2 linked regions of the Arabidopsis thaliana genome follow. The protein of the gene in region 1 interacts with the protein of each later gene in a pairwise test. Each region holds a gene or a part of one and is shown on either strand. Other genes may lie near its edges. The genes, in order: AT5G50010 and AT1G29950.

What was found.
Region 2: the proteins of AT5G50010 (region 1) and AT1G29950 interact in binary tests that used the Arabidopsis thaliana proteins (3 or more experiments, as listed by UniProt).

Annotation. Positions count from the first base shown.
Region 1 is NC_003076.8:20,342,973-20,354,493, forward strand, and holds AT5G50010 (transcription factor bHLH145), read left to right. Parts: upstream 1-5,642; 5' UTR 5,643-5,711; intron 5,712-5,860; 5' UTR 5,861-6,258; intron 6,259-6,369; 5' UTR 6,370-6,466; intron 6,467-6,564; 5' UTR 6,565-6,583; coding exon 6,584-7,519; 3' UTR 7,520-7,858; downstream 7,859-11,521. Other genes in the region: AT5G50000 (Protein kinase superfamily protein), read right to left, coding at 1-72, 270-404, 478-652, 732-928, 1,020-1,141, 1,740-2,061; AT5G50020 (DHHC-type zinc finger family protein), read left to right, coding at 8,238-8,269, 8,561-8,657, 9,294-9,479, 9,870-10,169, 10,358-10,591, 10,667-11,152.
Region 2 is NC_003070.9:10,486,667-10,499,140, reverse strand, and holds AT1G29950 (basic helix-loop-helix (bHLH) DNA-binding superfamily protein), read right to left. Parts: upstream 7,444-12,474; 5' UTR 7,308-7,443; intron 7,167-7,307; exon of another isoform or gene 6,787-7,166; intron 6,706-6,786; 5' UTR 6,244-6,705; intron 6,076-6,243; 5' UTR 5,681-6,075; coding exon 4,925-5,680; 3' UTR 4,543-4,924; downstream 1-4,542. Other genes in the region: AT1G29965 (Ribosomal protein L18ae/LX family protein), read left to right, coding at 1-12, 108-171, 342-683; RPL18AA (60S ribosomal protein L18A-1), read left to right, coding at 1-12, 108-171, 342-683; AGL64 (AGAMOUS-like 64), read right to left, coding at 1,854-2,411; AT1G29960 (Peptidase S24/S26A/S26B/S26C family protein), read right to left, coding at 3,290-3,337, 3,466-3,576, 3,890-4,114, 4,203-4,328; NRPA2 (nuclear RNA polymerase A2), read left to right, coding at 12,471-12,474.

The sequences.
Region 1 (11,521 bases):
TGCATCCCAACATCGCTTCATCACAGCTGCAAGTGCGCTCGGGCAACACCTCGGTATATCGGGTCTCAGGTTCTGCATTGATCATATGTAGCAGCATATTGCATATAGATTTTTTACTTCAGTGAAATGATGAAATGGTTACACTACTCTAGATCACATTTTTTACTTCAGTGATTCCTCAAGATTTACAACAAAATATAATTGTGAAACAACCAATATGCACATTTCAATTAAATTAACTTTTCTTTGCTTAATCTATTCAACCATACCTGGCGGACGACGGCTGAAGTGACCTCAGAGAAAGTAAGGTCAGGGTATGGCATGTCACAGCAATATATCTCCCATAAGCAGATCCCGAAACTGTATACATCGCATTTTCGATTATACGGGTTTCCATTGAGAACCTGCAGCCAAAGTTTATTTGTTATAAAAAGTTGGTTTGTTACCAATCTTGATGATGCATTATCACTATAGTACCTCAGGCGCCATGTAGCCAAGTGTGCCAGTCTCTCCTGTCATGTCATTAGGGTTAGATGCTTCAACTCTCGCAACTCCAAAATCTGCGATTTTAACAGTCCGGGTTTTGTCTAACAACATATTCTCTGTCTTTACATCTCGGTGAACAATCTTCTGCGAATGAAGGTAACTCAACCTAAAAGCAACATAACAATAACCATTAGAGCAGATAAACGACTTGAGAAGGCAGCGAAAGAAGGGAGAATATAATGTACCCTCTAGCGAGATCAAGAGCGAGCTGAACAACAATTTTAAATGTTAGTTTTCTTCTTCTGTTCTTGATCAGGTAAGATTTTAAAGCACCACCTGGAAGATATTCAACAACAACACAACATATATTGTTTGGCATAGCTAATGGACCACTCTCTGTTTGCAACTGTAACCCTGATGCACCCATTGTTGCTCCTATAAACTGCAAAATATACATTCATTGATGACCCAAATCTTATTTATATCCTCAATATATAACAATGGTAAAAAGTAAACAGAAGTGAAATATGAACCTTGGTGACATTAGGATGATCCAATTTATGCCAAACAGCAACCTCCTGAGCAAAATCAGCTCTCAAAGACACAATCTCAGCTTCTGATCTATGACCTTCTTCACCCCAATCAAGCAACTTCACTGCTCAATTTCACCACAATGATTAGCTCATTTCTTCACTTTAAATTTAATAACAGTAAAAAAGCTCTTTAGTTACTGCATTCAAGGGATCTATTATTCACTCTTTTTTTCTTTAAAATTTATTTCATGAAAAAGAGAGATTGAGACAACAACAGCTGGAATCACATGAAAGATCCACAAAGCAAAAGAATCATAATTATCCAAGTAGAGACCTTTCAAGTAGCTGAAGAAACACTTATGATAGCAAAACCCGTGTCGGCTTCACGGAGATCACAAGATTTGCTTCTACCCTCTAAAGAAAAAAACTCTTCAAATCCAAAACAATTCAGCAACTTTAATCTTAAAAATCCAAACTTTTTTTCAATCTAACAAGTTTCATGGTCAAAAAACACGAACACAGAACTAAACTATTCAAGTACAAAGCCTGTTTCGGATCCGACATTTCAAGTACAAATGTAGTAATCCATTCTTAAATTCGAGACTTTAAACTAAACTTGAAGACTTTAGCATTATTTCACAGTTACAAACTAATAATATAAAATGAAAGGGAAAGGTTTCGATGAGAGAAGGAAGCTAGAACGACGGGAAAGTGACTAACCGGCAACATCTTGACCGTCGTAGATACCACGATGAACGGTACCAAAAGTGCCACGAGCAAGAACAGTCTTGATGATAAGTTTAGAAGGATCGATCTCCCACTCAAGTCTCTGTTTCCTCTTGCCAACAAATCCGCCGCCGTTTAGAGTGACAGGGGAAGAAGAAGCAGAGCCACCGATGGCGACGGCGGTTGTGTCTTCTTCATCTTTCTTCTTGTTCTTCTCTAAAGTCAAAGCTCTGCTTAAGTGTCTCTCTAGTTGCTCGTCTAAGCTTTTTAGATCAATCTGATCTGCTCGAACAAACCCATCCTTTCCTTCTTTCATTGTCAAGCAAAAGATCCTATGAATCTTTTTTTGGTCTTCTATAAGTTGTTGTTGATTTTGTTTCAACAAGTTTCTTCTCTCTCTCTCTCAGATAATCAAACGCAGAGGAAAATGGGAAAAGAAAATCATAAAAAGGGAAGATGAGAAGAGAAGAGAAGACCGCATGTGAGTGAGCACATGGTCTTGCCTCGACGCTAATGTATCTGTATTTACATTTCTTTTTTTCCTTTCATAAAATAAATACTTTTTTGTTTTGTATTTCCAAAAACAATAATCATCACTTATTATCAAAATAAGTGTTGGTACCAACCATTTTATTGACGAGAATAGTGAGTGCAAAAGTTTGGCCCATTACTCTGGATGTTCGGCCCATCAAAGATTTGAGCTCCCTCGTAAACCTAAATACAAAAATATTAGTATGTGAATTTCGACATCTACATTTTTGACGTCGTATGTGGAGTTTATCATACTTCTGATTTTGGTCTTTCCAACTTGGTTTCACATACTATGGATAAACTACTAATATAAATTGATGTTACGAAGTTAAAAGATATTAGGAAGAACTAAGCCGATCTTTCTCATCTTGATTTGATATTGACATGAAGATATCGGTTGTGGCATGTCTAAACAATTGGACATGCTTGTTACAACTCAGTGTGTGTTTGAAGTACGCTTTGATGCTATGAACTCGACCAACTCCCGAGTTATACTATGTAAAATATTGTTCTATTGTCAGCATATAGAGTATAATGATAAGTGGATCCAATCATGTCTCTTGACTTTTTTATTTTTTATAAATTGAACCAAATCTATTTTCACATACGCTTACACGTATGGGATACATATGATAATCAATTGATTTGAAGATTGAGGAATGGAACTTAGAGTGGTGGTTAAGTGTATTGGTTGCTTTAAATTGCACGAAGCGTGGATGATTTTGTTGGCGTATCCACGTACCAAATGGCTCCATGCATTGTCTGTTGTCCCTACCAAAACCTTCACTATTCTTCTTGAGATCAATATTAAATATATATATTCTCTCAAATAAAGCATATACACAATGGTGCTCTTCTTCTTTTCTCTTTTTTTTTTTATTTTAAATGTATTGTATAATCGCATGTTCGTTACATATTAACCAAATCAAATTAAAAGGTCAAATATAAAACAAAAGCTAGAATTTCTATGCCGAAAATATGGGAAATGAATACCTTTTGAAATTTGGGAGTGGCCATTAGAAGCTCCTCAATTTTATTTTATTTTCGCCTTTAAGGTGTACAAATTTCTTTTTAATTTAAAATTTAAAAATAATTAACATGATCAGCTCTTCCTCAACTATAACTCTAATTCCGTGTACTTAAATAGTTAAATTATACTATAAACCCACTTAGTTGCTTTATCTAAGAATTAAAGAATGTGAACTCATCTCCCATGCGTGTTTTCCTTTACTCAGAAGGAAATTAAATTTCAATATTCTCTGAAACCCATTACAAAACACGGTCATGCTAGAAGACTTGAAGTCGTGATATGTAGCATTTTTAATGCGTTTTGTGAATATATGTAAACTATATAGATGTTATATAAGTACTCTCGGTCCAACATTTTGGAGCACATTATACTATGATCTTGATATTCAGCCAGTTTATTATGTCATATTTTTCGAGAACATTTGTTGAATTGAAGAACATAAAAGATAGCAAATCAACATCTCATATATGTGTCTTTATCAAAAAAAAACATCTCATATATGTGTATTTTTTTTAACCACGCAAAATGAGAAGAGTGTTATTTTATGTGTATAAAAATGGTGGACCTAGGATATGATGATTGCTTTAGAGACACACAGAAAGAGAGAAACGGTGGAGGGTTTGTTTTGGGCCCCTGACACCATTAAAGCCAGTAAGGATTAAGTGTATCCACTTTTAATTAATCCTAATTTATATACTATACGGATTAGTAATATTATCCTAATGGTTTTTGTATAACTTAAATATTTGGCGTGGTAATATTAAATGTTACTCTGCTTGTATGATTGTGAGCAACCAGATCTCTCTTATCTGTACATCAAAGATTTGGTTCAGGTTACTAAATCATGGGTCTTCTACATCTATCACTATTGAATATAGTTTCAGATGTCTTTGATTGTCAATGAAAAATATCTTGGGTATAATTATTACTAGTCAGTGCCATTTTCTGACAAGAGAGAACGTGTCTGTTTCTTCTGGGGGATTAATTAGGTTTAGATAATTTTGGTATCAAGTTTTATGATTGATAATATACGATTAAGTCATTGGCTAACTAGCTAAAAAAACTTTTTTTGGCTAACTTGGTAATTTTTGGTGATGCAGGTTGTTCATTTGGGTTTCTGTATAGAAATTATCTCCTTTTTTGTCCTTCGAAACTTATCTTACAGTATCTAATATTGAATTTATATTTTCATAATATAAATTATTGTGGATTGGTCATAAATTATGATCTCAATAATAATGTTCTTATGTTATCATTATTTGTTTGTATTTTTATAAGTCAGTGAGTATGACTTGTACCGTTCCTACTTCTATAGTGAAAACGGAAGTCTTATAATGATAATGAAGCTTGTTTTTTTTTCTTAACACTTTAGTATATATAGAAAAATATACATATTTTGGAAGAGATTATAATAAAGAAAAGATGAAGAGCAATCAATTGTCTTGTAGGATTTTCCTTTCTTCTTGTTATATTTATCGTCACATATTTCATCGTTTTTTCACTATAAGTGCAATAGATACATTTTCCACGAAAGTGTTTTGGAGATCCATATGAAAATAGACCAACCAGAATGGGAAGACAAAACATAATGTGAAACCCAAAGAAGATGGAAATGGAGGGTGCAAAAAGGTAAAAAGTAAAAGTAGAAATGATTTGGGGTTTGAACGGTCAAGCCATTGCAAACGAGAGTATTTGAGAAATGATTGGACCTTCTTCTTCTTCACATTGGATACTTTCACTACTTTTCTTACTGACGATGAACGAAAGTACGAAACCAACAAAATACATAAGCGAGCGTCTTATAAAACATGATTGCATGAAGTAAGTATACTTTGGCTTCAAATGGATTTTTTTTTTTGTATAGCTTCATTGATGATCATTTTTATATTATGTGAATGATATTTGTGTTTCGGTGGAATTGAAAGATACTAGATTCCGTTAGCTGAATTTGTTTACATGTGATGAAAAGTGAAAGTCGACTGATTCTTCTTTCCAACCAAAACAAGCTATTTGGCATAATTTATTTTTCCACCAAATGGGCAAATGTATATCTTTTAGCCAAATATAAATAAGCCGAAAAAGCATGTTAACAACAATATGGATTATGAGTATATCTTACTAATTAGTAATTACATCGAGAAAAATAAACAACTATTTAGATTTTGAACCCACCAAATTCAGCTAATTTTCCCAAAAACATTTGTTATCGGATTTGGTAAACACTGTGGCATCACGATACCTAAACTTTAACGCACGCACGCATCTCTGTTATGATGAAGGTCACTTTCGTCTTTTTCTCTTGTATATATCTTCTTCCTCGCTAACTTCTCTTCGCCATCACTGAAACTAATATCTCTCTGCTTCCTCCTTAGAACTTCTATTTGCTTCTCTTGCATTCCACTTTTGTGAGTTTCTATTATCTTCAGTTTTCGAGATAGAACTTATAAACTCTGTAATAATATGCATTGTGCATATTTTTCTAGGTTAAGTTATTTGTTTTAAAGTGTTCTGTTTCTTGCTAGCACTAAATCTATTGCTCTCGTTTATTTTGCAGATTCATTTGAAGTAGTGAGATTGACTCCAGAGATAAAACAAGAAAGAGCAACAAAGCAACAGCATGCGGTGGTGGTTGTGTCTTTCTGCTTATGTTTTTCGTACAGTAGTAGTCTTCTGTCGTGTGATTCTGTAAACTGCGATCTTACTTCAGACATAGCTTTTTTATGTAATGGGGTCGTCTTTTTTCTTCACATTCCCTTACTTTGTCCGCCAAATTATTTAAGACTTCGTTTGGATACTCTGTTTTGGGAGAAGGAATCAGTTGGGGAGAAAGTAGTTATGGTTTGTCAATCAGCGGGACAGACAAGATTTCGTACACTCAAACACGAACACGGTATCACAGGAAACATTGTAGTTAGAGTCATTGCATGCTTTCAACCTCTCCAAGATTGCCAGGTTATTTTCTTGTTTGATGAGTTTATGTTATTGCAATATATTTAGATTTTTAAACCACCAGAACTTTTTTTTATTGATTTCGTTTTAGCTTTGATGTTGTGTATTTTGCAGGCTGAATATTTCCGTCAATTGTTGAAGCCCGTCACGTAGAGTAGCTCGATACTTATCGTTCTTGTTTCAAGCCTAGTTTCTTCTATCCATTTAGTTGGTAAGTTCCAGTCTTTGCACACATAATCTTTTGACCTCCCATTCTTGATTATAAGTAGCTGATTTGTTTGAGATGATGATGTCCTCTGTTTTGGATAGTTGATTTGTTTAGTGTTGGATGGGACAAGATCGTGGGTTTGGGTTTCCTACTCAGCGCTTGTGTTCCTTGTCTTCCCTAGCTCTGTCTCATCTCGGGAAGCAAGACTTGAATTTAGTATCTAAAACCTGCGGCGACACCACCGACATGTTTTCTACTCGTGGATCTTATCAAGTTTCTACCCAAGTCTCTCAATCCTATTTTGATGGGTATTGTGGATGGGTTCATGGGTCATCCCACCTACAGCAGCAGTTCTTGCCTCCTCAAAACCAATGTATGAAGCAAGTACCTCTTCAAGTAGACGGTGTTATATCTAAAGCTGAGGAACAATGTAGTCAGAAGAGGTTCCTAGTGTTTGATCAGTCTGGAGATCAGACGACTTTGCTACTCGCTTCCGATATACGGAAATCTTTTGAGACCCTAAAACAGCATGCCTGTCCTGATATGAAGGAAGAGCTCCAAAGAAGCAACAAAGATTTGTTTGTTTGTCACGGAATGCAAGGAAATAGCGAACCGGATTTGAAGGAGGATTCGGAAGAACTAAATGCATTGCTTTACTCTGAAGATGAGAGTGGTTATTGCTCTGAAGAAGATGAGGTTACAAGCGCAGACCATTCCCCAAGCATTGTAGTATCAGGCCGTGAGGACCAAAAAACATTTCTTGGAAGCTATGGACAACCATTAAATGCTAAAAAGAGAAAGATACTCGAAACCTCGAATGAGAGTATGCGGGACGCTGAATCGAGCTGTGGTAGTTGTGACAACACAAGGATTAGTTTTCTGAAACGTTCTAAGCTGTCTAGTAACAAGATAGGAGAAGAGAAGATATTTGAGACTGTAAGCCTCTTGCGCAGTGTAGTCCCCGGGGAGGAACTGGTGGACCCGATCTTAGTCATCGATAGAGCCATTGATTACCTTAAATCATTGAAGATGGAAGCGAAAAATCGAGAAGCATGAGGTTCTTTGTTTGTAGGATACCTAAGACATATTAGCATTGGCAAGTGGACTTGGTTTCTAAACAAAGTAGTAGACATATTGGACCGTGGTACTCTTGTCAAGCTACAAAGGGATCAGGTTGTTGCTAGTTGGAAGATAAACCAAATAATGTTTCGGAGTTGCAAGAGAAGGAATTGATATTAAAATGCAAATTGAATATTTCATATTAGTTGATGATTAAGATGGATTGCGAAATTTTAATTTCAGTCGTTTAGCTGTTTGTTATATCATGTAGTTGCTTCTTCTTTTTCTATAAGATTTTGTCGGTGTGGTTGTTATTGTTCATCTGTGAGTCGTGTGGCCGAGAGAATCATAAATGGGAAAGTTGAATAACCATTTTCAATGATAGGCCAATTATAATGGTAAACACACAATTAATTTAACTTTTTTACAAATGATTAAAGATGTTTGTTTTCGTGCCAAACAGACATGTGATTTGGTGGGATATTTGGCAGTCTTTTGTCAATATGGTAGCAATTTTTGCCTATTGTTTCATGATTAAGACTCTTATCACTTGTCATTTCCTGACTTTTGTGCATAGAACTAGTGACATGTGATATACTGTAGTCCCATCCAGTTTATAAGTTTTGAATACATGTCTCTAGCCATTCAGAATAAATCTTGCAGCTAAATGTTTTAGAAACCGGACCAGATACCGGTTCATCCCAATTTCAGCCACATGAACGATTCTTGGTCTGCAGGACCGGACCGGTCCGGTTTTTAAAACATTACAAAAATAATTTTATATGCGTAATAAAAAAATGAAGGAACAAAACTGTAATGTTCGTCTCGGGAGACACAATCCAGAAACGAAACGCCTTTTGTGAGAGAGAGAAGAGAAGAGAAGAGAAGAGAAGAGAAGAGAAGAGATCGCACCACACAAAAACTACAATTTTGTTTTGGAAATTACTCTCACCCACCTGAATTTTGTTGCTAGAGAGACAACACTTAGGTTTTGGGCGGAGTTCTGATGTGAAATGAATCGGCGTAGAAAATTTTCAGGATCCTCCAATTCGTCAGAGAGTGTAGCGAGGAGTGTCTGATCCGTTCGCTGATTCTAATGGCTGGACGGGTCTTCGAAGCCTGGAAGGGAAGTAATGTAAGCTTTTCTTTTTCTTTCTTAAGGCGTCTCGATTTCGCTTTACTCTTTTCCCTTTTCTGGAATCTACATTTAGGTTTTCTTAAAGGCGACATTTTTATGACTTCACTGTCCTAGTTTTAAGAAAAATAATTGCAGAGAAGAATGTTCTGAGTGGATTTGTTGTTTTGATGAGAACAATGTGGACATTTTTGAGGGAAATTGTACTTTTGTGTGAAGAAATTAGTATCATCATATTCAATTAGATTACATTGGTGAGCTTTATTGGATTCGACTGTATATGTTGAATTTGGTGGCTTTAAATTTCGAATCTTTTTCAACTCTATCACTGTTGATAGTGTCATTTATTGTTATCATTGCGAAGATCTAAGTTTGAACATATATACCGTATTTGTTAGATTTGGTTTGGTTCCATGCTGATGCATCACCATATTTACAACATTGATGAGCTTTCTATTCACTATTGGTTCACTCTCCAAGCATGAACTTGCATTTTTGGTGAACTCTATCAGTCTATTGTCAGATTTTGTTCAATGGAACCCATTACCACTTGTGAATGTAGCTTTTGATGCAATGCTCTATGCTGTATTTATTCTGAACATGATGATCATCTTCTCTTTTGTTGGTCTTTTGCAGAAGTTTCTGTTTGGTGGGAGATTGATATTTGGGCCAGATGCTTGGTCTATTCCTTTTACCTTCCTGCTCATCATAACTCCCGTTTGTTTCTTTTCTGTATTTGTTGCAACACATCTTCGCCGCGAGCTCTTACCAAACAATGCGGGACATGTGTTCTTAGTGGCAGGAGTTCTATTTACTGTCTTTGTAAGTTTTCTCCAATGCCCATTTGATATTTGATTTCTTGTTCACATGTATCTTGTATACCTTATAATCTTATCATGGGATATTATAGGATCTTATCAACTCTTTTATAAGTTTTGAATGTTGATTATATACATGCATTATAGTATGATTCACTTGTAATTATACGACAATAAGTTAAAAATCTTACCAAAATTTTGAAATCACACCTCAATAACATGTATCTTACTGTGTTTCTTGTTATGTTCTTTCCTCTAGCTTAGATATAAAGTTTGAAGTATTATTTTGAATGTTGTCACTTTTTGTGTGGCTTTTGGATTATGCTTTTTTTGGGCAGGTTTATTATTCTTCCTTCATTTATGTTTTTTTTAAAATCATGTAAATACTTAATAGGTACTGATCCTTCTCTTCCTCACTTCTGCGCGGGATCCTGGAATCGTTCCAAGAAATTCGCATCCGCCAGAGGAAGAACTATGCTATGATACAACTGTATCAAGTGATGGAAGACAAACACCCACTGTTCAAATTCCTAGGACGAAGGAAGTCATGGTTTATGGCGTTTCTGTTAGAGTTAAATATTGTGATACATGCATGCTTTATCGGCCTCCTCGATGCTCCCATTGTTCCATTTGCAACAACTGTGTTGAGCGCTTTGATCATCATTGCCCTTGGGTAGGCCAATGCATTGGAGTGGTAAGCTGATTCAAAAGCATATTAAACTGGGAAGATATGCAGTTCATAAGTTCTTATAAGCAGAAAAATGTGCAGGATTTTCTATAAAAGGATTTCATATTTTGAGGATCTGGTTTTTCTAGTTGTTGACAAAACTGTGAACTTTAATTTTCCATCTTGACATTTTGTTTTGTGTGTGTTGTGGGCAGAGAAACTATAGGTACTTCTTTATGTTTGTTTCTTCGGCAACTATTCTCTGCATCTACATTTTTTCGATGTCGGCATTATACATCAAGGTTCTGATGGATAACCATCAAGGTACTGTGTGGAGGGCAATGCGAGAATCACCCTGGGCGGTTATGCTGATGATATATTGCTTTATTTCCCTGTGGTTTGTTGGAGGGCTTACTGGGTTTCACTTGTACCTCATTAGCACAAACCAGGTTAGTTTTGTTCTGCTCAGGGTATGCGTTGTGTAAATTGTGTCCTATCTGATACCCAACATTTCAATTTTTCAGACGACCTATGAGAATTTCCGGTACAGATCAGACAATAGAATCAACGTTTATAACCGTGGGTGTTCAAACAATTTTTTTGAGACATTTTGCTCAAAAGTTAAACCCTCAAGGAATGACTTCAGAGCGTTCATCAAAGAAGAACCTCCAAGGAATATTACATTGGCTACCACATGGGAACGACCAGAAGAAGCAGATGAAGAAAACAGGGAGGAACGGCGCCAGAAGGTGGAAGACGATCTAGACATCGATGAAGATGTTATGAAACTGCAGCAGCGTTTAAATGACGAAGAGGGCAGCGATACAGCGCATCACAAGATCGATATTGACCAAATGAGAATCGGGTCTAATGAGAGAGCGCCAACAATTCGATCAGAAGCCAGGCATGGAAACTGGGGAGCAAGAAGCAATGCACAGGAGGAGGACGTAATTGCTGGTTCTTCAGTAAGAGAAAGTAGAAGCTATGCAGCTGCAGAGGAGGGACGGTGATGAGTGAACGATGGTAGTAGGGTAATTATTTTGAAGCTTTTTCTTTCTTACTAAGTTTTTATTGTTTTCAATTTTTCATTATTTTGTGGGTTTGGTTTGATTTGGGAGTTGTGAACACTATTTGTGAATAAGTTTAGTGTAAGCTTGGGTAGAGGTCGAATTAAGTTATAAGTAATCAACTTTTTGAATGTTTTGCCGTGATGATGATTTCTAATGATGATTTAGGTTACTCTGGTTTTTGCCTTAAAATAGACAGAACCACAGTTTTATTTTACTGTTTTTCTTTCTAAATAAAGAAAGGCGATAAGATTGAATATTTTTGTCCCCTGACCAAAGTTATAGGAACCATGACAATGATCTATTTATAGA
Region 2 (12,474 bases), on another chromosome or scaffold:
ATCCAAGTTCTGGTTAGTTTAATTTTATCATAAATTCTCACCAATTTCATGATGTTTGAATCGTTGTGATATTGAATCGTTTCTTCATGTATGTGTTTTGAATTCAGGTACTACTTAAGGAGGCAAAAGAAGGTGAAGAAGAGTAATGGACAGATGCTAGCCATCAACGAGGTACTTGCTGTAGGATCTGAATTTGATTTGTTCTCGGTAGTAGTCTCTCAGAATTATGGAACATTTTTAGATATTTGGTCTTAACTTGATTGTGTAAAGTGTTTGTGATTCTGTAAAATATTTTGTCGTTCGTGTTGCTTGATTCTTAAAATGACTAATTGGTGTGACAGATCTTTGAGAAGAACCCAACAACGATCAAGAATTTTGGAATCTGGTTGAGATACCAGAGCCGTACAGGTTACCATAACATGTACAAAGAGTACCGTGACACTACTTTGAATGGAGCAGTGGAGCAAATGTACACTGAGATGGCGTCAAGACACAGAGTAAGGTTCCCTTGCATTCAGATTATTAAGACAGCAACAGTCCCAGCCTCTCTCTGCAAGAGGGAAAGCACGAAGCAGTTTCACAACAGCAAGATCAAGTTCCCGTTGGTCTTCAGGAAGGTTAGACCTCCCACCAGAAAGCTCAAGACTACCTTCAAGGCCAACAAGCCTAACTTGTTTATGTAGAACTAGAAGCTCTCTCATTTTTCTATCATAAATTCATAAGGTAATTGACTTTTCATACTTGTTGAGGGATCGAAGTTGCTGGTTTTGGCTTTTTAAAATTTTGTGGGTAGAATCTTGAAGTTTTATGATTCATTCTCTTGGTTTCGATTCTGGCTTTTCTTGTTCATTTTTATTAGTTAGGTTTCCCAATTGTCTGCGTTGATCCCCGTTCTAAAATTTGTTGGACATTGTAGATGTTTTCTTAATCCATGAATACGGTACGATTAGAGCTTAAACTAATATCCTCTTAAAAGAATGTAATTAGAATCTACCATGAAATGAACGAACAACGTGAAGAAGACTAGAGCTTTGGTTTAGACGACTCATATGAGACTACTAGCTCATTAGGACCAAACCCGGACGAACCAATCTAATCGGCTAAAGTGAGTGAACAATCTTTGGATGACTTTATCCCTCTTCTAAACAAAATCAGAAGACAGGCTAAAAAATTACAAAACAACTAAACCTATATGGGCCAAAAGCATATGGGCTTATTTAATACTTGTAGCAGCATTTTTCACACAGTTTAATATGTTACAAAATCTTTCATGACTTATCTTTCATAAAAAAGGGTGAACGACCTGTGTCCCCGTAGAAAGTTTCATATACGCTCATAATTCTACAGAATCCAGACTTCGACTCTAGTCCACACCAAATGAAAGTTCCAAACCTCAGTTCCACGGGTACAATAAACCAACGATAAACCACAAAATTCAAAATTTTGTGGACCGAGGATTTGAACTTTTGATTTAGGGGAACTGAGGTTTGGAACTTTCATTTGGTGTAGATTGGAGTCGAGGTCCGAATTCTGTGGAGTTGTGAGCGTATATGAAACTTCTCATGGGGACACAGGTCGTTCACCTGATAAAAAAAAATAAAAAATTGAAGAGTATTATAGTACTACATAATACTTTTTTCTTTCTGTTTTGATAAGATTTTGTTAAACTCAAAGATGACATCTATTCAAACAAAATATTTCGGTTTCATTAACCCATGACTGGATGTTGTAGAAAATAATAACAATTCATAATGTATAAAAAACAAAAGACAAAAAAAAAACATAATTCTTAAGACTCATAATTAACTAGTGATGATCACAAATGATCTACTAATTAAAATCTTGATTATGGATCATTTGTTATTATTCTCATCATGTCCTCTCTTGATCCTTGAAGCAGCTTCCTCGCACAGTTTCTCATAGAGCTCTTGATGCTTCTCCATCATCTTCTTCACCTCTTCGCGATCCTTCACGTCATTTGGATCCACTTTCCACCACGCATCCTCATTCATGGGCATCATCTCCGCCAATGCAGCCGTCTTCTTTAATTTGACTTCTTCCACCGTTATCTCCTCCACCAATCTATTGTATACTTTGCAAAGCTCTTGAATCTTCGCTTGCTGATGAGCATTCATGACCGATCGTTGCAACGATGATGAAGAAGACGACGAGGCCTCGCCGTTGAGAAACCGCTCTGCCACGGCTTGGAAGGACGGACTGCCGAATGTGTATGGTTTTCCAGAGCAAGAATACCCGAGAAACGCAACTTCAGCACCACAGAGAATGGAAAGCTCACTGAGTTTAGTGTAGATACCATTTCGACGCTTAGACAATGTGACCAATCTGTCTTCGTCTTTTTCAATTTTCTTGATGTTAATCCTTTGTTTTCCTTTGGTTTTCTTGGGTTTCATTTTGGAGAAAAACAAAATTATGAGTTTATTGGCTATAAAAAAATAAGAGAAATTTAAACTAAGTATTTGTTTGCTGTTTTTGGCTTTAGCCAAGGAATATGTTTTTTTTGTGGGTGCAAGATAGGGTTTATATAGATGGAAAAATGGTAGTAATTTAAATTGCATAAAAGTTAGTCAATTCTTAGATTAATGTTTGGAAGGTTGGTAATATTGATTATCCGCATAGTTATGGTTGATTGATAACAATTGTTAATGTTGGATGTAGAGACTTTGACTGGAAAAACTTTTTTTGTAAGGACTTTGACTATATAAATTTTTATAACCAATTGGTAAAAATTGTGATAGTCGAAACTACGATTTTAAATAACTATCAAATATGTGGGAAAACAGAAAATAAATCACAATGATTGTTTTAAAAATTATTTGACACACAATTAAGAAAATCCCTACAGTTTGGCTTGACAAACTTGACGTTACCACCAATTGGTATCACCATGATTGATTTAAGTGAAAATAGAGCAATCTTTAAAATGTGGGGAAATGCTATTGATCAAGTAGTATTTTTAAATGGTTATAAGATTTTCCCATGAATAATCTTGGCTTCACACAAAACATTCGATGTTTGTTTTAACTTTTTGATACAGAGGCGACTCTCACATACAGCGTCAGACCAAAAATACATAATGTTACGTGCTCTCAAGTCTAAACCATATACTCACTTTTCCTGAGCGTTTAGATTCTCCCATCTTCGTGAATGGTATGATGATCCTGCATCTCATAGTCAGTCATGAGCCAGACTCACTCGGCAACAACGATTAACCATACTACCAATCTGCCTCGGTCATCTCATTGGCCTAATGACCAAGCTAACTCGTATGCTAAGTTGGGGTTGGTCCAAGCGGTCCAAAATCTTGAAATGGCCAAACCTACACATTATTATACATACCGAAGATTAGCCAAATAGATTTACCAAAACAAATGCAAATAACACATTTGAAGTTCCGAAATCAGATAATCTAACTATATTTGTAAGTTAATGACAAAAAGTTTATACCCTCCAAAGCACTCTGCCTTGAATAAGACCGTAAGGTACAGTACCAAAGTTTCTTGAGTCTCGTGAGTTATGAGTATAGTCACCTTGAACAAAGACATGTCCTTTAGGAACCTAAAACCAAAAAAACATCGAAAGATCAATTCGCCATTAATCCAACAAACTAAACAATCCAAAGGAAATTGTAATATACACCAATAACACTAACGTTGCTAAAAGATTCAAAATTTTCCATGAATTGCAATCAGCTAAATCGAGCTCAATACTAATTAACAACTTGTTTCAACTCTGATCACTCAATTTCTCAACAATGTATCTACCTTCTTCAAACTCAGTTCTCTAAGTACAACATTCAAAAATCTCATCCATAAGCAAAACCAAAGTGAAGTGAAGTCAACAAGGAAGAAGGTTAAGTAACAAAACATACCACAATGGTTTGAGATTCATCACTCTTCCTTGAATCAATCACAAAGCTTATACAATCACCTTCAATACCAATAACTCTTTTAATTGGAGTCTTATTAGGGTTTTCTGGAGATCGTATCACAACTATATCTCCACGACTCGGTTTCTGATACCGCTTCGAGATTCTCTCCGCTAATAACACATTTCCCGAAGGATGAAGCGTCGGAGTCATGCTCGGACCATAAGCCTGCTCAAAAAGACTACATCTTTATGGTAAATTTTCAATAACGAATTCGATTTACACCAAAAAAGAAGAGAGATTTCGATTGACTCACATAAGCCATGAATCCGAGATAGTTTGTTGTTACATGAAGAAAGCAGTAGAGTTTCGCGAGTAACACGCCGCTTTTCATGGCTTCTCGTGAAGCTGTGTTCCAGAAAGACGACGACGGAGTCGCCATTGCCTATTTCTTCAACTGAATCCAACGAATCGAGATTTGAGAACTACACAAAGTCTGCAGATTTCACGAAAGTGTGAAGCTTTGAGACGAATCGTTGAGCTATACTGTGTAAAATAAAATGTAATCATAACCCAATTTATAAACCCGGTTATTTAATAACCCAGTTAATTTCCATCAGAAATTGAATTTTGGTTACGTATAGGACCCGTTTTATGGTATAAGCGTGACTTTTCAAAATGATGGCCCTTACATTGTTCAGTAGAAGGAAGACCAAATGTTTAAAACTATGTAGAAGCAAATACATAATGATAATTGTAGTTCATAGTCAAATGATTACAGTGAAAGTAAAACCATACAAATTAAAATCTCAAATCAAATCCACAAGTACTTGTTCAAACCTTGCTTCTTCATCGAAGCAGTAACACACAAAAAGCAAAATACATAGAGAGATTCAAACATAAAATAGATACCATCCTGCCAACAAAAGGAAGTGAGTATAGAGGGAGGAAAATAAAGAGAAAGGTCCAGATAGCGCTAGACCGATGATTTACCTCCCGAGAAACAATAGTGATGGAAGAACCGAATATCGGTAGCATTCAAGATTGGTTTGAGAAATGTCCAACGCCAAGTTTCTGAGCTTCGATTTTAAGTGACTTGAGATACTGAACAGCTTCATCAAGAACGCAAGCTGTATTCATCTGTTCTCCTCCAGGGACAATTCTCCTCAATACTCCCATCATCTTCTTCATCTTTTTACGTCCTTTCCCATCATTGTTACTACTACTAGCACTGCCCGATAAACTCTGCTTCCTTGAGTTGTTGTTGTTGTTGTTGTTGTAACCATAACTGGAACAACAAGATTCTGCTGTGGTGTTTCCATAATCCCTGGAAGAAGTACGAGCAGTGCTGACTTCTTCTGAATCACCACCATCCTCTTCACCTTCATTATCATCATTCTCTTCATAATCTTCATCTGCGCTCAAGAGAGCATCGATCTCATTTGGATCTTCTTGATAAGAAGAGGATACTTCTTGCTCATAGTTACCATAGTTACCATAACTTCCCCCAACATACTCGTTCTGAAACGTCGAAGCTAAATTGTTCAACGAAGGGGTATTCATGAGCTTATGAGTCAGCTCAGGATGGTACATCACTTGGCTGCGGTCATATGTTTGATCGAAGATGACAAAGTTCTTTGGACAGACCGCAGACGGTTGAAGTTCAACACCATGGTATGGCAACTTTGCACATGGTGGGAACAAAGCATCATAGGATGACCCTGATGCATACGGGTTGTGCATATTTCTGTCACCCACTTCATCTGAGAAGTGAGGAAACTGATTGTTCTGCATCAGAAAACCCGTGCAAACGTAAAAAAGGAAACGCAAAGAGAAAAACAAGTTGTACACCTCAAACTGCAAGCTGCTTGAATATTTTCTACTACCGATTTGTCGCCTTTGTAAGCTTCCAGCTGCTCAGTTACTACTACACTAAGTTGACACACGGAACCAAATGCTATATCAAGTTATGGCCATCATACTAAAGATATCACGAGTTTCCACCAGAGCCCTTACCCCCCAAACCAGAAGCTCCCCCACAGACAGCTCTTCAGAATACCAGACTCTTTAACAACTCACAGTAAATTTTTTCGAAATCAAAAGTAGATAGCCGCTCAAAACCCCAATTTCCGAAAACTCCAGACGCTAGACTACGTTACAGGCTTAAGCAACTGTCTGAAATATTCAGCCTGCAATGATTTATAAGAAAGGTTGAATATCAGAAAAACTATGGTTAATACTCTAACAAATAGCTATCCACATGTCATCAAGAGGATAGAGTTCTTTTAATGACATAAATCAGTGTTGCCTAAGCGATAGAAGTGTTAGGAAATACTAAATCAAAGAGAGGCATGTACCTGGCAAACTTGAACGGATTGGTAATTAGCAATGAAACATGTAGTCATCATAAAAGTTCCTATTTCCTTCAATGATCGGTTTCCCTTCTTGTTTCCAACAATGCACATTCTCACAAACTAACCAGTATAATAAGCACAACAACAAAGAACTATTCCGAATTCCGGAAACAACACCTGCAAAACAAGGAAGAGATGCCAATAGTTTTAACACAAGAAGCTGTATATAAGGTGGCAACAACAAAATTTGCTTCCACAAGGTACCAATGTAAGACAAAAACACAAGATGTGAAATGAGAGGCTGGCTCACCTGAAAGGAACAAAATTACAGAATAACGAGGAAAAAGACAACCAGACGAGTGCAAGTTCTGTTGAAAAACATGAAGAATGCTGTCCAGGGCATCTTTGGTTCTTCCAATATCAAATTTGTAAGTGTATTAAATACCGTTCCTCTTCTCACAAACTCTGCACAAACAAACAAAAATTAGGACCAACGCTATTCAAATACTAATATATTTTCAGTATAGGAAGTTGAAAGGCACTAACTTCGAGGTAGAATCCTAAAATAACTACTGGCAAAACAAAACAGAGAAACAAAAAAATGGGAAATTTCTAATTCCTGATTCAGATAATAAAAAAGCACAACTTTAGGCATCTGCGTACAACAAACAAAAAGATAGGATCATGACTAAAGACATTAACATCGGATCCAGAATAAATGTTTTTCGATTTCATGATCACAAACCAAAATCAAAATAACTTAACAACTCTGCTTCAAAACAGAACACATAGAGGAAACAAAACCTCAACAAAAGAATTGGACTTGTTAAAAGAAAGAATCTTTACGCGATCATGAATAGTTTATTAATAATAACACAAACAAACATAAACAAGACAGAACATTCAATAGAAAAATCAAATTCAGCAATCATCTGATAAACCATAAAATAGCTATTTATGAGATACCGTCAAAGTACTAATTACAAGACAAAGAAAAAACATATAAGTCCTAATAAGTCAGAAATTGCGGCGGTATAAAGAAAGAAAGAAGCAGAAAACATTCATACCGTAGAAGAAATCAAAAACCCTTTGGATCAAATGAATCGGTGATGCGTAAAAACTAAAGCTTTAGAAGAATCTGATCAAATTCGAAAGAGTGATTTTTTTGTTTTGTTGTTACAGAGGAGAAGAAGAAGAAGATCTAAAGAGAGAATGATGTGTGTGGCAAAAAGAGAGAGAGAAGGGAAGGGTAGAGAAATAAGGAGAAGAGAGCGAGCGAGCGTGGCTTTCTTTTTCTGGTGCGGTTTGTTTTTTTTCGTTTGGTTTGCCCATTTTCATTTCTTTAATCACTCACTCACACACACTACACTAGTCACTACACAAACAAACATTGTTTAAAGTTAATAATTTCGTTTCACGCTTTTCGTGCGTGAATCTACTTGTTTTGTTTTTTCAAATGTGGAGCAAAAAGATGTTTAACTTTACCGCAAATTTTTGGAATTTTCAAAAAAAAAAAATGCACTCCTATTAATTTGATTCATCCAAGATAAAAAGGTAAAAAGCTTGGACAAAATATGTCTTTTTACTTGTTAGATTAGATAAAAAAAAATCTTGGAGTAGAAAGATGACACATTTTTATTAGTAGTGTTATTTAAATCCAACAAAGTATAAGAGTGTCGTGATACCTATATTGTTTCTTAACTTTTTCTCAAACAAAATATTTGTTTCTTAATCTTTTCATAATGTTCAGTTTCTTTAATCTGTTTCTTTCGGCATAAGTAATTCTTTAACTATTTCACTATCTAACTATAAAAGTGGATATTACTATTACAGTAGAAACTCTATAAATTAATACTCGATAAATTAATAAACACGGTAAATTAATAAATTTTGTAGGTTCCAAGTTGTGCCAATATAAAAATTAACCAAAATCAATAAAATAATAAGATAATCATTTTTTTAAAATTCCTATGTAAAATTATAGTCCCAATAATATTATAAATTAATAATTATAGATCTTAAATATATATTTTAAGACTAATTTTTATATGAAATTTTTGTTCAAGCTATAATTACAACTCTTTTTAAAATACAACTGATATGATCTCTGTTGTACTCACATAACTATTTGCGTATTTGATCCGTCATAGTTGATTTTATAAAATCTTTTATTTGAGAAAGCATTACTATGATTTGTGTAAAGAGAAACTGGATTAACTTTCATGTTTACGTTTACGTTCACGTTAATGTCGTAGATATACAAATACAAATCTTACCGAAAATAAATTAAAGAAGTCAAATTAAAATAAAAACCTAACATAATTATATATGCAAACAACAAAGCATATAGAAAATTACATTAAGAAATATTTTTAAAAGAATATAGTATCGTACTTTACGTAAATATTTCTATAAATTAATATTTATTAACTTATACGGTAAATTAATATATATTAATTTAGAGGATAAATTAATATCACTATAAATTAATAAAATTTTATGGCTCACCATTATTAATTTATAGAGTTTTTACTGTATCTAGTAAAATTTACTAAATCACTCTATTTGACCGGTGTCATGCTTTAGATTAGGTCTATTAAAAAACTCATGTATATCACTATGTAAGTGGATAGTAAAAACTCAAACAACTTCTCTTTAGGAAAAAAGAATTACTGTATGTAGAAAATATGTTATCCATTTCTGTAAAGATGGAACACACTATGATTACAGTGTTTAACCCATGTATATCACTATGTAAGTGGATTTTCTTGAATGAAAAGTTTTTTAAAACATAAAAATAAAATAGATGTTATGATAAAATAATAAATAGTGGAAATTAAATGGAAAAAAAAAAACAAGAAGAGGGAGCACGCGTGAGGGGATGGACAGAAGAGAGTCAAACAAGGGAAAGTGTGAGCCGTTGGATGAAACAATCACAAATGGTTTCCGTTTAATGCGGCCTTGATCGTGACCGTTGGTTTGGTTGCTCCTTTAGCACGCGTGAAAAGCTTTTGTGGACCTCTATAGCTCCCACCAAAAAACCAAACTCTCTCTTCTTTGACAATTTTTATTTGTAGTTTTAGAGACGACACAGTGACACACTCTTCTCTCTCTTTGGGCTCTTGTCCCAACCCCATACTTGTTCCAAAGAATATTACTTATTATTTCCAAACCAAACTCATCATTCTTGTCTCTTCACTTTCAGCTGTAATTTTAAGTTTATGTTGGCATGCGTATGCTTGGTAATATTTTTTTATTATTTGATTGGTAAGCGACAAACAACAAGTAAGAATATTTGGTGAGAAAAATAAAAGTAGATATTTGGCAATAAGTAACTAAGGTTTAAAATTAAATAATATATACGAATCGTGTGGGTTTAATTTAAATCATGATTATGGACAGCATTAGTTTCAAAGGAAACCATTCCACACATTGCGAAATAGTTAATCTCATGATGCTGCTTCTTTCTAAATCCATCATTATGTTTCTGTTAAAACTCATTCGATTGAAGTACTGGATGTTTGTTCCAAGTCTTAGTGGAAAAAAAAAGTCTTGTTAAAAGAATCGAGACAATGCAACTAATATTGTACACAAACACCAAACCGTTTCTGAAGCATTGTTATGGATGGCAAAAGTGTTCTTCAACACTTCAACGGAGGTCAAACCTGTTCCTTTTCTGCCTTGTTTAGGGAAAAAATATTCTAAAGCGAAAAGCATTTTTGGTATGAGAATATCCAAGTGCCAAGTGAGAAGATTCAAAGAAAAGTTTAGACGAAAAGCAAATGAATGGAATAAAAAAATATCAATTATAACGGAGTGTTGTTATGTAACTTTGTTAACAGTTGTAAGTAATTTGTAAAACAAACCAAGAGACAAAAGTTTATTTGTAAGGTATAAATTTTTTTTACTGGAAGGTAAAAAAAATGTGTTACACACCAAGTGCTTGAGTGTGGTTTTTAAAAAATGTGTTACAAAGTCATCAATATTCTTGTTGGTACCTTGTTTGCCTTTTGCTTATAACAATTGTCGAGTGTCGAAATGTAAGGGAAATGAAACTTTAGTGTTTTGGGAATGATCTTTGGTATTGGCAACAGACCATTTATAGTGACAAATATCCATTAGTGTTGAGGAATGTCCTTAAGTGCTAACGAAAACGCGTATTAGTGTTGAAGAAAATCTTTCAATGCTGACATAAGACATTTAGTGTTCACGGAAGGCCTTGTTAGTGCTATGGATGGAAAATGCTCTTATTTCTCGTAATATGAAAACTTGCTGCTACTGAAGAAATTGATCTTGATGACTAATTTCTAACTATTATATCACCTTACATTCTCAGAAGTTAAAAATAAAATGCATAAACTTTTTCAAATACAATCAGAATCGGTCAATCCGGTGACCGAAATCAATTATGATGTTTTTGAGAGTTCTGATTGAATTTTCAAAATCTACATCACTAGTTGGATAAAGGTGATTTTGATGGCTACCTTGTGATCATCATATCATCTGATACTCTTACTAGTTGGAAGCCAAAGATATAAACTCTCAAATACAAACGGAATCAGTCAAATCATATGGTCGAATAATAAATTATTATGTTTTGACACACCAAAGCCTAGCTACATGTACACTTGAGTTTATGTTGGTGAACGTCTTGATCACAAAATCTCACATACACAACATTGATGTCCAGCGTTAATGCGTTATACCCTTCTAGAGATCTAATTGGTGACACAAAATCTCACGTAGTGTAAGTCAGCAGAATGAATGCGTTTCAGAGCTAAGATCTTACATGTTCAAGCCAATGCTTTCGAGGAACGGTTTTTGTAGATCCAAGAAAGGAATAGAAGCTTTTATATATATGTCCAGACAAAAATATTGGATTTTAATTAACTATATATATATATATATATATTATGATCAAAATGGATAACTATAACTTATGCATGACAAAATAGATTCACAAGAGTAAGATACGTTTTTCTAAACTAGTACAGTATTTATGAGTTCTACAATATTATGCGAGCCATTGCAAGGTACAACATTACATACTAGTCTTACTGCATTTAAATGGTTTGGATGTGTATATCATTATGTTTATTGCATAATTTGATCATTTTGGATAGCTATGAATCGGCATTAGATTCATGTTAGCATTTGGATTACAACATAATTTTGGAATTGTGATATTTCAACGTTGGTATCATATTCGTAAAGGTATGATTATTGTAGAAAATATGAGATCTTATATAGATATCCTGATCCTCTCATTGTTGTTTCTAATGGGATGGAGATCCAACGTTGAATATGAGACTATGCTTCACACACAACACACAACTCACGACTCACGCAAAATATACTTACCCTTCTCCTATCGTAAATACTGTCCGACTAGTCACATAACATTTTTCAAACTTGCACGTCGAAAATTTTTCGAGGAAAAATCTATTGTTGTCTTCCCAAGGATCATCCAAACCATATAATTGCCTCATTGATGCATCTCCCAAACCAGAAGCTAAGAAAAAGGACCCGGATCGAAAGTTTTAGTTAATTTTGTTTTATAACGGTCAAATTGTCTGATCGCGCTCATCCATAAGACCATAACCATAATCCAACATACACGACATTCCCCAAACGAAAAATCTTCGGCATAATTCAACCACTCGGTGGATCCCAAAAAATCAGTTTCGAACAGTATGTATAGATACACACTTTTAAACTTATATCTTGCAAAACAAACAAACACATCATCCAATATATCATCAATACACGAAAGTTTCACTTAACTAGCTTTAGTAGCAAATCAATTTTGCTCTTTTTAAAAATGTGATATAATAGTATTTTTATTTTATACCTGTTCGATCTTGATTAACGTTGTTTTAGTGAGCTTAAACACCAAATATCGTTAAGGTTCAATAGAGAAATTCACCAAAAAATAGTAAAAATCCGTATCCAATCTCGTTCGAAAAATTATTAAGAATTAAGGGTTCGAAATATAAACATTTTAAAGATGAGGATTATATCTGCAATAAACTTGAAAGTTATCGACAACCAGTAAAACCCAAACTCAATAAACTCCTAAAACCCTTTCCCTTTTTTCTCGCGCCGCCTTCTCTCTCAGACTTCTCCGCCTCTCCATCAATTTCCTCAGGCAAGAAAAAGCTCCTCCGAAACCCTAATTTCAGCTTCCTCAAACCTCAGAACCGGCCTAGCTTGAGAGCAAACCTTAAATCATGG